Saccharomyces cerevisiae S288C: one gene and its partner. Changing the gene in region 2 together with the main gene of any one other region gives a genetic interaction. Each region holds a gene or a part of one and is shown on either strand. Other genes may lie near its edges. The genes, in order: IRC3 and SRL3.

Evidence for each region.
Region 1: mutations in SRL3 (region 2) and IRC3 together harm fitness more than expected from each alone (negative genetic interaction), as found in Saccharomyces cerevisiae (2 studies listed by BioGRID).

What each region holds. Positions count from the first base shown.
Region 1 is NC_001136.10:1,128,098-1,135,355, reverse strand, and holds IRC3 (double-stranded DNA-dependent ATPase), read right to left. Parts: upstream 4,356-7,258; coding exon 2,286-4,355; downstream 1-2,285. Other genes in the region: RQC1 (Rqc1p), read left to right, coding at 1-2,096; GPI8 (GPI-anchor transamidase), read right to left, coding at 4,533-5,768; DNA protein crosslink repair co-factor UBX5, read right to left, coding at 5,982-7,258.
Region 2 is NC_001143.9:600,778-612,765, forward strand, and holds SRL3 (DNA-binding protein SRL3), read left to right. Parts: upstream 1-10,747; coding exon 10,748-11,488; downstream 11,489-11,988. Other genes in the region: DEAH-box RNA helicase PRP16, read left to right, coding at 1-2,295; OMA1 (metalloendopeptidase), read right to left, coding at 2,418-3,455; TVP38 (Tvp38p), read right to left, coding at 3,628-4,641; TGL4 (triacylglycerol lipase), read right to left, coding at 4,856-7,588; PXL1 (Pxl1p), read left to right, coding at 8,169-10,289; SRP40 (Srp40p), read right to left, coding at 11,888-11,988. UniProt on the Saccharomyces cerevisiae protein: Weakly suppresses a RAD53 null mutation when overexpressed.

The DNA of each region.
Region 1 (7,258 bases), on a different chromosome or scaffold from region 2:
ATAAAATGACGAGTGGTAAAAGTACTGCCGGTAATATTCAGAAACGGGAGAACATCTTCTCTATGATGAATAACGTACGTGATTCAGATAATAGCACTGATGAAGGACAAATGTCTGAGCAGGATGAAGAAGCTGCTGCTGCTGGGGAGCGTGATACTCAAAGTAATGGTCAACCTAAAAGAATTACACTAGCATCCAAGTCTTCTAGAAGGAAAAAGAATAAAAAGGCAAAAAGGAAGCAAAAAAACCATACCGCCGAGGCTGCAAAAGACAAGGGTTCCGATGATGATGATGATGATGAAGAATTCGACAAGATTATCCAACAGTTCAAAAAAACTGATATATTGAAGTACGGTAAGACTAAAAATGATGACACTAATGAGGAAGGTTTCTTCACGGCATCTGAACCAGAGGAAGCATCTAGCCAACCTTGGAAGTCATTTTTAAGCTTAGAAAGTGATCCGGGCTTCACAAAGTTCCCCATTTCATGTTTGAGGCATTCTTGCAAATTTTTTCAAAATGATTTCAAGAAATTGGACCCCCATACGGAATTCAAACTTTTATTTGACGATATATCTCCAGAGTCTCTTGAAGATATTGATTCGATGACATCCACACCTGTCTCCCCTCAGCAGCTGAAACAGATTCAGAGACTGAAAAGATTAATTAGAAACTGGGGCGGAAAAGATCATAGATTGGCACCTAATGGCCCCGGAATGCACCCGCAACATTTGAAGTTTACCAAGATCAGAGATGATTGGATCCCAACTCAAAGAGGTGAGCTCTCTATGAAACTTTTAAGTTCTGATGATCTTTTAGATTGGCAATTATGGGAAAGGCCGTTAGATTGGAAGGATGTTATCCAAAACGATGTCAGTCAGTGGCAAAAATTCATTTCTTTTTATAAGTTCGAACCTTTAAATTCCGACCTGAGCAAGAAATCAATGATGGACTTCTACTTAAGTGTTATTGTTCACCCTGATCATGAAGCCCTTATAAATTTGATTTCTTCTAAATTTCCGTATCATGTGCCTGGACTGCTACAAGTTGCTTTGATATTTATTAGGCAAGGTGATAGATCAAACACTAATGGATTGTTACAAAGAGCACTCTTTGTCTTTGATAGAGCTTTGAAAGCAAATATTATTTTCGATTCCTTGAATTGTCAACTACCTTATATATACTTCTTCAACAGACAGTTTTACTTGGCAATATTTAGATACATCCAATCTCTTGCTCAAAGAGGTGTTATAGGAACTGCTAGTGAATGGACAAAAGTTCTCTGGTCACTGAGCCCATTGGAAGATCCTTTAGGATGCAGGTATTTCCTCGATCACTATTTTCTATTGAATAATGACTATCAGTACATTATAGAATTATCCAACTCTCCATTAATGAACTGTTATAAACAGTGGAATACTTTAGGATTTTCCTTGGCGGTAGTACTAAGCTTCCTAAGAATAAATGAGATGAGTTCCGCCCGCAATGCGCTTCTAAAAGCCTTTAAGCATCATCCTTTACAACTGTCAGAACTTTTCAAGGAGAAACTCTTGGGCGATCATGCGCTAACTAAAGATTTATCCATTGATGGCCATTCGGCAGAAAACTTGGAATTAAAGGCATATATGGCCCGCTTCCCGTTACTTTGGAATAGAAACGAAGAGGTAACATTTTTGCATGATGAAATGTCGAGTATTTTACAGGATTACCATAGAGGAAACGTTACAATCGATTCAAATGATGGGCAAGATCACAATAACATTAACAACTTGCAATCACCTTTCTTTATTGCGGGAATCCCAATTAACTTATTAAGATTCGCCATACTATCTGAGGAGTCTTCTGTAATGGCTGCAATTCCATCATTTATCTGGTCTGATAATGAAGTATATGAGTTTGACGTATTACCACCAATGCCTACGTCAAAAGAATCAATCGAAGTGGTTGAAAACATCAAAACCTTTATTAATGAAAAGGATTTAGCTGTCCTTCAGGCAGAAAGAATGCAAGATGAGGACCTGTTGAATCAAATTAGACAAATATCTTTGCAACAGTACATTCATGAAAATGAAGAGTCAAATGAAAATGAGGGTTAATAAGAAATGTTGCAGCTCATTTTCTAGTACGCAGAGTAAGGCTAAAGCACTTATTTGAATTTAACGTTATTCATTGCATAGTTCAGAAAGGGTGTGATCCAAAAGAAAATGCATATACGAGTGGTCCGACGTTTACATATGTACTAGTGACTGTATATTAATATATGCACATTTATGTAGCTACGGATTTCACTTTATAAAAGATCTTCTTTTTTGATATTCTAATATTCGTAACAATGATTTCAACGGGTAGACAGGTGCCAAACTGCTGGCAAAGATTAAGTTGGAAGCATCTCCTTTCGTCATCTTAGTATTTACATAAGTAGTAACATCATCCAAAGATAATCTAATAAAATCTTTTGAGGACTCACCATATACTTTCTTTAGCTTTCTGAAAACAAAGTCTCTTTGTTTTGACGTAGGAACTGTTTGTCTCCATTTCGAGTATTTACTAGATATTGCCTGGTATTGCATTGTTTGTCCTTCCAAGTCCGAATTTAGAGTATTTATGATTTTTTCCACCTTTGACATTACATTCCAAAGATTAGCGTCTTTTATTATACTTTTTGGAACATAGTCCGCGTATTTATTTGTTATAAAACACGGTAATTGTCGATACATTTTTAGATGATATACCATCGACAATTTGTCTTCGGATTTTTCTTTGTATATTCTCAAATGATTCTTACCTTTTAAAGGGAGGCCCCACGCATTTGAGGCAAATTTCACCCACGGATATTGTGAGTTCATCAACAGCTCCATTTCTTTTACAGCTTCAGAAGCTTCATCAAACTCCTTGCCAGATGGATATGAGTTATTGCTCTGTGTAAAATTCCTAAAACTATCAAAGGAGCACAAGGTTAAATCAACCGAATTTGCACTGTGAATCCAATCGGCAACGCTATTTCTTTCAGTTACATTTTCCATTGCTGCTTCATCAGTCTGAAATAAAGCCCTTAACCTTTCGTCGATTTTTTGTTGTTTAGCTATTATCTCTCCTTGGATTGCTTTTAAATCTTCAACTGTAGCATCATCAAATTCGATATCATCACTCCTTATACCCAGTAGAGTGGGCGCTGAAACCACTCCAACACTAGAAGCTCCAATGAAGTCGATGATATGACAGTGGTCTTTCGAATGGTGTAACCGTAAACCTCTTCCAATCATTTGAATCAAAAGTGAACGCGATTTTGTGGGCCTACACAGTAGTATACAATCAATATTTGGCATGTCCGTTCCTTCTGTGAATATTCCACAGTTCATGAGTACTTCAGTTTCCCCATTTTTGAATTTTTGAATTATATTATCTCGTTCTATCTGTTTTGTATCCGAGGTGACATAGTCCGTATTAATACCGTTGTCTTTAAATAATTTATGCAAACTTTGTACATGGGCTTTATCAACGCCAAACAGTAATGTTGATTTTAGTGATTTCTCTTGCTTTTTATGAAGGTAAGTTTTCAGAATTACTTCATTAATTTCTTTCGTATTCATTAGAGACGATAACGGTGCCAGCTGGAAGTCATCTGCAGTGCTTTTTACATCTGATAAGTCTGCTTCAATTTTGACTGACGTGAATTTTGCCTCACATAGCCACTTGTCATCGATCATTTCCAGTATTCCCCGGTGGTACACAATTTTATCCATTACCATTGACAAAGCTCTTTTATCTGCTCTTTCGAAAGTCGCACTAAAGCCAATAACAGGGATTTTGGTTTCTGCAGTTGAAGCTTTGAAATGATCTAAGATACTTCTATAAGAATTAGCCACAGAATGATGTGCTTCATCAATGATGATGAGATTCACTGAATTAGTATCATATTTATGGAGTCTTCTAATCAACGTCTGAACAGATGCAACAATCACGTCAGAATCTTCAATATCGCAATCATATTTTCCCATTTCTATGTGAACCTTTAAGTCGGGGAATATTTTTTTAAGAGTGGCCGTCGCTTGTAAGGCCAGCTCCCTCCTGTGAACCAGGATCAACGATTTAAAATTTCCTTGACGTTCTTTAAAATAGTTTTGGCGCAATTGATTGATAAGATTTGAGAATATCACTGTCTTACCACCACCAGTGGCTAATGATACACCAATTCTCTTGGTGCCCTGTCGAATAGAATTCACACATGCATCTATAGCATCTTGTTGGTAATCTCTGAGTACGGGAGCTGAGTAACAACGTTTTATAATTTTGATGCGCTGCAGTATTAATGAAATAGAATATGTCGAGAGTCTAGTGGCTAGTGTTGAGGTCATATTTTATTATACTCATGGCTCCAATAGGCTTCTTCCGTTATGTGAAATAAAACTCTATAGTTTGACATTATGAAAAAGTTGTATATGTAATCTATTCTACCAAAATAAAAAAAAAAAAAATAAATATATATAAAGATGTAAAATATGCTTATACGAAAAAAAATGGATAAAAGTGTTTTAATTAGTGTACAGGTCATAGGTTGCTTTAGCAGTGTTTCCTCTCAGCATGAACCACAGAATAGTTACTATAAGCGCCAGTATTATGGTAGCTGATTGTTTGAAGGAGGTGAAGAAACATTCGTTGGAATCTATATCAACATCCAATACACTAGTAGACTTGATGTCTTTGATTTTTTTTTCAATCTTGGAGGATTGATTGTTTTTGCGGTAAGTCTCCAAGGCCAAATCCAGCACATTATTGTTAAGCTCATACTGAGCAGTATCGATATGATCTTTGTAATGATGATAATGACTTACGGAAAGAGGTTTTGAATCATCAGGAATTACGTTTTGCACATTCGCAAAAAAATCAGTAATCAATACTTCTGACGGATTCCTATCAAACAGATCAGTCCTGACACCCACATGAGAGTGAATCTTTTCGAAGGTGAATGAATCGAAGAGGTCCTGCAAAGTTAACGTGGAATTTTTATCGATTTGTTCTAGGAAATCCAAACAGTAATAGGTGAATCTATCAATAACAGCAACCCCTATTTCTACGTCCGAGTGATGCGAGTACGAGCTTTCATCCATTTCACTAGAGCCTACAGCCAGAATATTTGGAGAATAAAACTTGGAATACATTGTGTTTGCCTGACATGTATCTATCATAAAGAAGATTTCATTGTATCTTTTCTTTTCGTACATTTGCTGGAATGCATCTGCAATATCTTCAGAAGCAATCTCTTCAGCATCTTGGAACTTTAAAAAATCATCGCCACCATGTCCTGTCATATAGATGAATATATTTGAATTTTCATCCGTCAACAACCGTTTAGATTTAGGATGGTCTTCTGTCCATCTATCCGTTAACAGCCTTATAAAGTTTTCCACGGTAACTTCGTAACCTCTGTAGTCAACCTCTACAGAGTCTCCGTAAAGGTCAATAGCGTGATCCTTATTGTTAAAAACACTTCCAGGAAATAGATTCCTTGAATTGCAGGCCACATCATCACTCAGCATCAATATTATTTGTGAATCCGGTATACCTAACCTCTTTACAGTCCTATACATACTAAGGACATTAGCCATGTGCCTGTAATTGAACCAGAACCGCGACGTGGATACTAATACGGCCCAATTATTTGTGTTCGTTGCTATAACTTCGTGTGCAGCATCTGTGTTATTTGCACCTGAAAGGGGTAGTAAGAATATGTATAAAAGCAACAGCGGCAGATGCATCGCTATACGCATTTTGTTCGGCTTTTGCAATTTGCTATGCTTAAATGTGATATATATTTTGTATTTACACCTATGAACTATTCCTTTACGTCTTTGTATGCGTTTTTTCTTATGTTTGGCGTGCTAATGGGAAAAAAATAAAAATACAATATCCGGGTATTTCCGTCGTGTTATAAGTGCTTACATACCTAATTACATCTAGGTACCTGCCACCATACAATTTGTTTATTCTATTTCAGGGTCAAGCTTCTCAAGTAGTAAAGAACTATTTTTTAAGCCGGCGTCCGCTATGGTCATGTTTAATTTATCAATCAAGTCCTCTCTTTGGTGATCATTTAGTGTGAATCTTGAATCGGCAAAACCATCCATTTCTGTCTTGATAACCTCGTAAATAGTACGCACAGTGTCTTCCAGAGCATTGAATCTACGAACTAGTCTGGAGCCATCACCGGTACGAATTTGAATTCTTGTAGTGATCCCTGGTTTATTTGGCGGTTCTGGATGCACCCTGGCTTCAATGGTACTGAATGGATCCGGTTCTTGTACTCGTTTCTGTTCTTCGCCAGTACTCGGCACTTCTTCTTGGTTTGATTTGCTCGAGTTATTATTTAATGACTCTTTAATGGCTAATTCCATTTGTTGCTCTTCGGTCAAAGTTGTTGGATCCACTTTAGGAAGAGGTTCATTAACCGTGGGATTAGGGACCTTTGGATCTAGCGAAAATGAGGCCAAAAACTCGTTGATTTCTGAGATGAATTGCTCTGGAATGGGAACAACCCTATTCCATTGCTTGACACGTTCACCGGTAATTGGATCCAGTATCGCGATATGGGGCAAATCATCCTTATTATTCAAGTGATAGAACTGAAGATAGGGTTGGGCATTACGTGATTCATATTGATACTGTAGGAAAACGAAGTTCTCTTTGATTATAGTTTTTACCGGTCTGGACGACCACAAATCCCTGTTGAGGGCTTGGCATTGGAAGATTCCTGAATCCTGAATGTTAATCATTATCCATTTTTGCTTTGCCCTTGCCTTTTGCTTTGCAGCGTCTAAGTCGAGTTTGGACATGATTGAAAATGGAGGCCTAAATAACAAAGCTAATTTCTGCTCCTTGGAAATGGTTTTAGGCTTTCTCACTAATTTGGTGTACTCCTTGATATTGCCGTCTTCATCAAGTTCGATGACCGGCTCTTCCACATACTCATATTCGTCGTCGTCATTTTCTTCCTCGGAGTCCAAGGAATCTGAAGAGTTGTCATTGATGTATGTATTAGTATTTGTGTCATCCAATCGTTGATTAAAAATGCTTTCAGGTCTTCCTTCGTCAAACATGTCGTTCACCCTATGCAATGGTTCAAATCTTCCGCCAATGCCGCCGTAAGAAATTGGGAATCCTGAAGTTTCAGTAAGTACTTCATGTCTTGCCTCATCAGGTGGCCTGACATAATCTTGGTCAGGCTGTTGTTGTTGGTAAGCTTCCCTTTGCAACCTCTCCG
Region 2 (11,988 bases):
GCCATGGGGGAAGTACTAGGCTTGGAGAATAACAATAAAGCAAAAGATAAGAGCAACCAAAAGATTTGCGACGATACAGCTCTTTTCACGCCATCAAAAGATGACATTAAACATACTAAAGAGCAACTGCCTGTTTTCCGCTGCAGATCTCAATTGTTATCATTGATAAGAGAAAATCAAGTAGTGGTGATAATTGGTGAAACGGGCTCAGGTAAAACCACGCAACTTGCACAGTATTTATATGAAGAAGGATATGCCAACGATAGGGGGAAATCTATTGTTGTCACACAGCCGAGAAGAGTAGCAGCCATATCCGTTGCAAAAAGGGTTGCAATGGAAATGCAAGTTCCATTGGGTAAGGAAGTAGGCTATTCTATAAGGTTTGAAGATGTGACGGATTCTGAGTGTACAAAACTTAAGTTTGTAACGGATGGTATTCTACTCAGAGAGACCTTATTGGATGATACACTCGATAAATATTCGTGTGTTATTATTGATGAAGCTCATGAAAGGTCATTAAATACAGACATTTTACTAGGTTTTTTCAAGATTTTATTAGCACGTAGAAGAGATCTAAAACTCATAATCACTTCAGCAACAATGAATGCGAAGAAGTTCTCCGCATTTTTTGGTAATGCTCCTCAGTTCACAATTCCTGGAAGAACTTTCCCCGTACAGACCATATATACTTCCAACCCTGTTCAAGACTACGTAGAAGCTGCAGTTTCTCAGGCTGTGAAAATTCATTTAGCAAACGATTGTTCAAGCGGTGATATTCTCATTTTCATGACAGGTCAAGAAGATATTGAAACAACGTTCGACACTCTGCAAGAAAAGTTTTTGCAAGTATATTCTAAAAAGTTTGGTACCGCAAACTTTGAAGAGATCAATGATATTGAAATTTTACCAATCTACTCGGCTTTACCTGCAGATTTGCAATTCAAAATTTTTCAGGATCTACATGGCACTAAAAGGAAAATTATAATTGCGACAAATATTGCAGAGACTTCATTGACCATTAAAGGTATTAGATATGTCATTGATTGTGGTTACTCTAAACTGAAAGTTTACAATCCAAAGATTGGGCTTGATAGTTTAGTAATAACGCCCATATCAAAAGCTAACGCCGACCAAAGATCCGGAAGAGCGGGAAGAACTGCGCCAGGCACTGCATATCGATTATACACGGAAGATACATTCAAAGAAGATATGTACTTACAGACAATACCTGAGATCCAAAGAACGAATTTGTCAAACACCCTTTTACTGCTAAAATCTCTGGACGTTACTGACGAATTGAGTAAGTTCCCGTTCATTGATAAACCACCCTTACAAACATTTTTATCCTCATTGTATGAGTTATGGTTCATAGGGGCTATAGACACTAGTGGACAATTGACTCCATTGGGATTACAGATGGCAAAATTTCCCCTGCAACCTTCCCTTTCCAAAATTTTATTAATTGCAGTTAGAAACGGCTGCAGTGATGAAATGTTAACAATAGTTTCCATGCTTTCTGTTCCACAAGTCTTTTATAGACCCAAGGAAAGACAGAAAGAAGCAGATATTGCTAGAAATAAATTTTTTATCGCGAAATCAGATCACTTAACGTTACTTAATGTTTTTGAACAATGGAGGGCAAATAATTTTAGTTCGCATTGGTGTAACAAACATTTTGTTCAATACAAATCACTTGTCAGGGCAAGAGACATTCGAGACCAGTTGCTAACAATACTAAAATCTCAAAAAATTCCGGTCATTTCCTCCGGTAAGGACTGGGATATTATTAAAAAATGTATTTGTTCAGGATTTGCTCATCAAGCAGCCAAAATAACAGGACTACGAAATTACGTTCATTTAAAAACTGGCGTAAGTGTTCAACTACACCCTACAAGTGCATTACACGGATTGGGGGATTTACCCCCTTACGTGGTATATCATGAATTATTAATGACTAGCAAAGAATACATTTGTTGTGTTACTTCTGTAGATCCATTCTGGTTAATGGAATATGGTGGGTTACTCTACGACATCAAGCGTATTAAAAATGATCAGGAGGCCACAACTACAGGCCTCTTTGGTGAACACTATGAACATACTCTGGACAAGGTTGAAGATGATATTGATATCAATATTAGGAGATGTAAGGATATGAGAGACAGTGTGATACAGGAGCTCAAAATGACCGACAATTCAAACAAAGAAGACAAAAAGCAAAAAACGAAAAAGCAAAATATACTGAACGGCAAAGAAAATTCAATGAAACCTTTCAAAAGAAGGAAGCCTTTTTTTTAGTTTATGGGAAGAGCGTGCTAATAGGCAAAATATTCATATATGTTATTATATAGTTATATGCATGCATAAAACAAAGGGTTATTTATTGGGTACAAAAGAAAAGAGCATAACTCGTGGAGTGCTTACATTGAGAAAAAACTTTTATAATAGTTACCCATACTGCTACAATCAGATTGTTCATAAATTTCATTAGCTTTTGGCAACCATTTCGACATATTCTCTATTCTACGAGTGCTTGCTGGATGTGTACTTAGAAACTCCATATTCACAACACCCCCTCTATTCATTTGCTTTTCAAAATTTGCCATTCTTTCCCACACTTTTATTGACTCCTGTGGTTGAAAACATGCCCTTGACATTATCATCAGGCCAATGTAATCAGCTTCGGTTTCCATCTGTCTTGATGCTGGCATTCGCAAAAACCCATCCAATAGTATATTGTTGATAGCATGAGCTCCAGTAACAGTATATAACACCAAACCCAAAAGAGAATATATAGGAGCCTTCGACAAATTTTCGGCTGTGTGTCTTGCTAGCTGATGAGCAAATTCGTGTGCTAAAACAGTGGCAATCCCATCATCATTAGCACAAATAGGTAAAATAGAGCTGAATATAAAGACCTTACCCCCTGGTAAAACGAATGCATTTGGTGAAGCAGTTGGATCATTGACCACATGAATTTCCCACTTGATTCCGTCCAGTAGTGAGTTGTCTACACTAGGGTCCTTATAAGCAGCTTCGACAATTTTCATGAAAATATTCTCAATTTTGATGGACAGCGGATGCTGTGGAGGTAATATTTCCTGCTGCGTTTGTCTCCAAATTGATTTGTATGTGTAATTTCCGATAGTTAACTCTAATGGACGCGATACCCAGATGAACCTGGACCTATCGCTTACCGGTGCTTTATCCAAATGTGTATAATAAAAGAGAGAGCATCCACCAAATAATAAAGCTAAGTATTTTCTTGATGACTTATCGAGAAGAATGCTTTTAAACGATGATTTTTGGGAATACTCTCCATTATTAAATCGACGATATGAAGGACCATTGTCATAGCGGTAACATCGCGTTAACTGAACACGAAATGATACAGGTTTTAAAAATCCTCCACTGGTCCCTTTTCCAAATCCTTTGAACCTGATGATGTTGCGTAACATTTCTTGTATTTTATCTTTCCATACCTTAACTTAGATTGGTTGATGTCGCTTCGAAAAACTGCTTTTTGTCTTTTAAGTTCTTTATATCGGACGTAGAAAGAAGTAGAAATAGTAATTTGGGTTACCCATATAAAACCAACTTATCTAAACATATATAAACGTATACGGAGGATTAGACCTCAAAAGACAATTCAGGTAGTTGATCAGTGGACACTTGACGGTCGCGGTTTTGTAGTTCTAAATATCTCTTCTTAGTCTTGAAGTATAAGAGCCATGCTGTAAGACTTAGGATTAATAATGTGATAATAATGCTTACCAAGTCAAATACCCTAGATCCTGTAGATTCAGATTCTGCGAGACTCTTTACACGAGAACCTATAAATAGATAGATGAACAGCTTTGGTGTGGTTATTATGTTGGCAATGGAAAAGTTGCGTACCGAGATACCGTAAACACCAGCTATGGCACCATTAGTCAAAGAATATGGGAAGGGACATAATCTCAGTAGAGCTAGAATCCAATAGCTATTGTTTTCTTGTAAAATTGAAGCCAATGCTTCAAATCTTCTATTCAAATGCACAAGCTTTTCTGCTCTTGAATGCAAGATCGTCTTGAACACAACGAAAGAGGCAATGGAACCTGTTACAGATCCCAAAGCTAGCGTAACCCATCCCTCAAAACTGACACCATAGATCAACCCAGTAGTGGTGGATAATAAGGAGTAGCCAATCATAGGAGGAAATGCGACAAAGAATATCAGAACCATTAATATAAAATGTGTTGACATCTTTTCTCTCAAATCGTTCGAAGTAACAACAACTTTATGTAAAATCGCATTATGGAAGACGAGCAACAATATACCCATTATCATTAGCATTATGCCGAGGAGGACAATGATAATCTGTTGCCATAAGCGTAGTGAATAAAAATAAAACTGTAATTTTTGAACATTCTTCCTGATATTATGCATCAATCTCTCTCTAGGGGACATATTATAAATGTCTAAAAAATCATCATCATTAACATTTACTTCGTCATTGAATGACAATCCAGCATTAGTACCAACCCTTTGTCCATTATTACTATTTGGCATGATATCGTTGTCAAAGTCTTCGAAATAGCCATCAAATTCATCATCCTCCCCTTGGCCCATATTGGCATTTCCTGCTTCGTAAGACTGACTCATTTGTGTAACCAATATCTTTCTTCCACCATAATAATATTTTCAAATATGTTGAAGGTATTGTTTTAGTAAAGTGGCTTTTTTTCTTAGTGCAGCTCGAGAGAAAACAATGATTTCGATTTCCGCTTTGAAAATGATATGAATGAGAAAGGCCATTCGAATAAATACATAGATGAAAAAGAATATCTAGAGGATATATAAGCAAGCCCGTGTTTTCTTATTGAGTAAAACTGGTGGTGCTTTTGTGCTGCGTTGAAGAAGAAGGCCTCGATCGAAACGGTGAGCTCTTTGTAGCTTGAGAAGGGGGTCTTCCATCAATGCTATGACGCCTGAAATTGCCCGCTAAATCACTATGAATCATTGCGTCTGAATCGAAGTTACTTATCAGTCTCAATGTAGGATGGTCTTCTTTATCCGAATCTGTGTATAATATGTTGCTACTGCTGACCCATTTTTTGTTCATATGCCTCAAGTATCTACTCTTTCGGCCAAAATGCAATTTCTTGTCTACCATGGCAGGTGTTTCAATGCTGGCAGAATGTGGGATAAGTTCATGGCTTTCCGGGTCATAGGTCTTGGCATCCATAGGAAACATTAGCCGGCCCATACTTGTTTTTTTCTGCAGAATTGGCGGTGGGTGTCCATTGATTTTGCTGGATTGCCTCAACATCCTTGATGTGGGAGAAGCAACTGAAAATGAAAAGGATTTGGCTGGTCGCCTTGAAGTTGAAATAGTATCTGATTTCCTTCTTTGGTGACGCGGATTGAGAGAAGCGGACGTAATGGAATACCGCGGTCTAAACCCGGAAGGTGACCGCCCATATGTGCTTGCATTCTCACGTAACAATAGCAAAGAGTTTGTCGATTCTGATTCTAATAAGTTGTCATCTAAAACATTGGAAATATGATTGTCACCCTTGGTTGGAGTCCTAGTTAGCAATGTTGAATTTTCTGGGTTTTTGGACTCATCTGACGTTTGCTCTGGAGCTTTAATTAATCCAATGACTGAATCAGCAAATTGGAAGGGGGTTTTTAAAGAGGAGGTGACAATCATCCTACCTTTGATATAAGAAATCGCCTTATCCAGAGCAAATTCCTGGCCACAGTGATTTTGAATAATGGAAACCTTGGGCCACGTAGCTTTTGCACCATTGGTGATTTCCCTTAATAAAAATTCTTTTGTTGGGTTTGACAACAGCTCCTTTATTCTAAAAAGCATACACATGTCGGGCAAAATAGTGATGTCACCAGAATATTGTTGAGATAATACCGATCTCAGTTTTGTAAGCGCGTTTTTGGCAATTCCCATCTCACTTCCAATTTCTAGAATATGAATAGCTTCATTGGCCATAAAATTGTATATACTTGATAAGTTTTGCTTTAATCTTGCACTAAATTCGTCCTCAATTTCCCCGCCAACACAGGATAGTGATAGTTTCAAAAAGGGAAATACGTGAATATTCACCTGGCATGCGATAATATGGTCTACATTAAACATTTCAGAAAGACGAGAAATGGGCAAGTCATTGTCCACAGAACCATCGACAAATTTGACCGAACTACTACCAGTCCATGGTTTCCTTTCTCCCGTTTTTGGATCTTTTTCGTAAAGTGGGCTCGAGGGGAAAATTCCCGGTAGTGAACATGATGCACATACGGCGGACCAAATCAGGACGTTTGGTGCAGTCAAATTATTCAGCAAGCGCGGTTGTTCAAATAAAGATGCCGGCGAAACGGTTATATTCAAAATTTTACCCGTTCTATTGTAAGCTTCCCTAAATGTCAAATCTCCCAAAAATTCTATCATTGTATTTACCAGATGCTTGTTATCAAACCACGTACCGTTTTTGAAGAACCTAGATATTTTTATTAACAAATTCTCGCTTTCACTTTTCTGTTTATCGTCTTTGAAAATGTTGAATTCTTTATCCAAAATATGATTTAGTAAAACCGGAATTTCTTCTTTGTGATGGACAGATAATATGCTTGCTACAATTGCACCAGCACTGCTACCACTAATCACTCTGGGTAATAAATCCAATTCAAATAGAGTACCAAGGACACCGATGTGGAAAAGACCAAAAGTTCCACCCCCACTGAGAACTAAAGCGGTACGACCAATATTTCTTCTCGTTTGTTGCAGTATACCCAAAAGGTAACTATCATCAAGATCAGACTCCATTAAAGATTCTAGCGCTAACCTAGACTCCATCATATACTCGTCAATTAAATATTTGGTGCCTACATGGGAGTGCCTATATAGGTTTACATTCCCCATATTTCCCAGGTTTCGTACCCAATTCGTCCTAATGATGTACAACAATTGAGCGTAATTCCTATTCAAGCGCTCCTCACGCATTCTAGATGTTAAATCTTTTATTAGCTTGTAATCATACAAGGGACTTTCCAATTTCTGCTTCCATTCTGTTTTCCCAGTGAGGTCATCCAATCTGGCGCCCGCAGAACACCATTCTTCAAATGACATCGCATGTTGCTTTTGTGAACAGACTTTGTCAATAAGAATGTCTCTTTCATAGTTTCCCACAAAAACGTTGTAAAGAAATGATTTGCATTTACTGGCTAAAGATGACCCTTGCCTTTCATCTTCGCCTTCGTCTGTCTCAACCATCTCGATATCATTATTTTCATTTTCTGTTACTGTCTCTTGGTCATCGTCAAGTTTATCCTCGTTTCCAGTATCCAGGTTGAAATTTACTTTGTTCGTAGTTTTGTTCTTGCCAGTTTGCAGTCTTTTACCAGCATCCTCCTCCACCCTTTCAACATCTGAATTATCCTTACTGGGCCTAATAAACTTGTTCTTCGGATTTAAAATAGGAATTATGTTCTGGGAAGTGCCCAGGATCTGTTCGTAATATTTTTCGATTAGTTGTTGCGTAACAAGGAGGGGCTTATTTTGTGTAGATGTAAGATCTGATATTTTGCTGCTCATTCAGACTTTTATTACATATACCTGTACTCCCTTCAATAATTATTACAGCGCTAATTTTTTTGATCAAATACTTGAATACAGGCCTCTTTTACGAGTACAATAATGACATAATGACAATTTGAATCAACCATACTTTATAATTGTGGTTTAGCGTTTCATAGTCGCAATTATCGTATAAGAGGGGTAATATGTCAGCCCTAGTTTACCCTACTTTTTTTAAACCCCTTAAGATCTTTTTTCCTTTTTTCTAATATTTAACCTACTAATATTGGTAAGTAAACCTAATGACTTTTTGAAGCGCCTAGCCCTATTTCTTTCGAAATTTTCAATTCGCGTCCTTTTTCAATTCCATGAATAATAGGAAACATGAAAAAATAAGTAAATAATAATAATAGAAAAGCTGGAGTGTTGCAAATTTAAGAGGTAGCCTTAAAATATATTTCTGCTGTGTTGAATATTTAATTTATACAGCTAGAATAGGATATTATAGCCGAATTTTTTTCAAGCTTCTTCAAAGCTTATAGTGAATAACGTAAGGGGAAAAACAAGAATAAATTTAGCAAAAGAAACGCTCAAGTCAATGTATAACTCAATCTACGGGTCCCCCTTCCCTAAAATAAATCCGAAGGTCCGCTACAAAACTGCTCTAGAAAGAGCAGGGTTTGACACTAAGCCGCGTAATCCGTTCAGTAGTCAGAGGAATGCTTCCACTGGAAGTTTACAAGCTTCCGTGAAGTCGCCGCCAATAACCCGTCAAAGAAATGTATCTGCCGCCCCATCTGTTCCGGTCACGATGAAGAGTGCGTATACGGCGTCTTCAAAGAGTGCTTATTCATCTGTAAAGGGCGAGTCTGACATTTATCCGCCTCCCGTATTGGAGAATAGCGAGAGGCGGAGTGTAACTCCTCCAAAGAATAGCAATTTTACGTCTTCGAGACCCAGTGACATATCTCGTTCTATTTCCAGGCCCAGCGAGCGTGCTTCGCAAGAGGATCCCTTCCGTTTTGAACGCGACTTAGACCGTCAGGCGGAACAATATGCTGCCTCTAGGCATACATGTAAATCACCTGCTAACAAGGAATTCCAAGCCGCAGATAACTTCCCCTTCAACTTCGAACAAGAAGATGCTGGTAATACTGAAAGGGAACAAGATTTGAGCCCTATTGAAAGAAGTTTCATGATGCTGACTCAAAATGACACTGCAAGCGTTGTAAATTCTATGAACCAAACCGATAACAGAGGTGTGCTCGACCAAAAACTCGGAAAAGAACAGCAAAAAGAGGAAAGTTCAATCGAATATGAAAGTGAAGGACAGCAGGAGGATGAGAATGATATTGAAAGCCTAAATTTTGAACCAGATCCTAAACTACAGATGAATCTTGAAAATGAACCACTTCAAGATGATTTTCCAGAAGCAAAACAAGAGGAAAAGAATACAGAACCTAAAATTCCGGAAATTAATGTTACGAGGGAAAGTAATACACCATCTTTAACCATGAACGCACTAGACTCTAAAATATATCCTGATGATAACTTTTCTGGCCTGGAATCTTCAAAGGAACAGAAATCACCTGGTGTGTCATCATCGTCAACAAAAGTTGAAGATTTAAGTCTTGATGGGTTAAATGAGAAACGTCTTTCAATAACTTCTTCAGAAAACGTGGAAACACCATACACTGCTACGAACCTCCAAGTCGAACAATTGATTGCTCAATTAGACGATGTTTCCCTATCTAGAAATGCAAAGCTCGATATGAACGGCAATTGCCTCAACGCAGTGGACAGAAAGGCTTCTAGATTCAAAAAGTCAAGCGCATATTTATCTGGGTATCCCAGCATGGATATACCCGTAACGCAGCAAACATCAATTGTGCAAAACAGCAATACGAACTTATCCAGACAAACTATTCTGGTAGATAAAGGCGATGTCGATGAAGACGCGCCATCTGAATCTACAACTAATGGTGGCACACCCATTTTTTACAAGTTTAAACAGTCGAACGTAGAATACTCCAATAATGAAGGGATGGGTTCGCAAGAAACTTTCAGAACGAAACTTCCCACAATTGAAGCACTACAACTGCAGCATAAGCGCAACATAACAGATCTGAGAGAAGAAATTGATAATTCCAAATCTAATGACTCTCATGTATTACCTAACGGCGGCACTACGAGATACAGCTCTGATGCAGATTATAAAGAAACGGAGCCCATTGAGTTTAAATATCCGCCTGGGGAGGGACCTTGCAGAGCATGCGGCTTGGAAGTCACAGGGAAAAGAATGTTTTCCAAAAAGGAAAACGAACTGTCGGGTCAATGGCATCGTGAATGTTTTAAATGCATTGAATGTGGTATCAAATTCAATAAACATGTTCCCTGTTATATTCTAGGCGATGAACCATATTGTCAAAAGCACTATCACGAGGAGAATCACAGTATTTGTAAGGTTTGTTCAAATTTCATAGAGGGTGAATGTCTGGAAAATGATAAGGTGGAACGATTCCACGTGGATTGTCTAAACTGTTTCTTATGCAAGACTGCCATTACTAATGATTATTATATATTCAATGGGGAAATTCCATTGTGCGGTAATCACGACATGGAAGCTCTCTTGAAGGAAGGTATCGACAATGCTACATCAAGCAATGATAAGAACAATACTCTCTCTAAAAGGAGAACGAGGCTCATCAACTTCAACTAGCATCACTACCCATTTGTCTTTCCTAGCACACATGTTTCATAACATTCTTAATAAGATTTTGATTTTTTATATTATTAGCCAGCCTTGTTCATTTATAAATTGTATAGCGCAGGAAAAAGGCATCTGCCTATCTATGGTATCAACAACATTAGTCGTCATTAGTTAGTTAGTTATAAAGACATCATTCACTCATATTCACTACGTTGTCTTCTTCTCAACAACTACCTCTAACTGTTTTTTTACGCGTCATTTAATTGTAGCGAATTTCTATTTTTGGACATTCTCGTACCGGTGCATTAAAGGCTAAAAGCTAAAAAGGGAACAGGAGCCTAAGAATAGAGAATAAGGAAATTTATTTAAGGAAAGGCTAAGCAATGAAATGTTTCGTTATTTTATTGTATTTTCAAGAGGATGGAAGAAGAACCTGAGCACAAACGGATAAATAATAGACGAATATAATGTTTCTTAAGACACCTAATTGGGAAACGGTAAATGAGACTCCCAAATCGAGAGTCTTAACGATAAACGAATTGATCTCTCCCAACCTGGATACTGAATCTAACAGCCTTCTGGCGACGCCGGCAAGGAAATATTTCAAAACTTCAATAAGTGAAGCGCAAGATTCTCCTACATCTGCCCCTTCGCCCGATGGCAATGAGGATCCCACATATCAATACAACGTACAATTTCATTTTCCAGGACCAATAACACCTACAACACCCAGGTCTAAGAATGCAGAAATGTTTCCATCCCCCACGCCCCCATTGGTTTCTCCCACAGCGGTTATCGAGGAAGAGAATGACGATTCCGTACGGGAGTTTTCACGCACGCTAAAATCAAGACTCAACTGCGCAATGGTTAAGCTATCAAAGGAACATGAGCAAGTAGCTTTGATTCCTCCACCTCCGACGGAAAAGATACGAAAGGGCTCTTATAGTAATAAATTTGCCGCTAAGCATAGGCGCTGTCACTCGTTAGATGAATCCAAAAAGTTTCTGAGTTCTCTGGAAGATTCATCCGCTCATGCAGCGTTCTTGAAGGCAATTTCGTCCAAACATGCCAAAAGCAATAGGGTAGACAACGTTAACGTTTCGCCGTTACGTTGGTCATCTCATAGAAGAACGCAAAGTACACAGGAGAATTCTTTACAAGAAGTTGTTGCTATCGATACATTATTGAAGATGTCCTCATCGGACTGAACTAATGATTCGGGTTTCGCATATATACATGGCTTTGGCTACTTTTAGGTTTATAGTTCTTGCTGTTTATATCACTAATATTTAGTATATAGCTGCGAAGAAAGAAAAAGAAAATATTCACCTCTAGGAGCCAAAAACATAAAAAAAAAAATAATTAAAAAAAACTTTTATTGAATGCTTAATTATTTAGTGACGCGATTACCTATATACCAGGTTATTTATTTTTTCTTTTTTCAAAGGAAAACAATACAAAATATTACTGTTACCATTTTTGTTACTATTATTATTGTCTTTATTACTATTATTTTTCTATCGTTGCTATAATTACAATTTGTTTACTCTACAACTTAAAAGGAGATTACTCCAGACAACGAGTTTTGTTTTATGTTTCCTATTCTTTTAATCTTGGAATTTGTATGAACCACTTTCTAATGTAATGGATCCACCTCTGTAAGAACCTCTCTTCATTTTATTTTTGTTCTTCGTGAAATCTTTACCTC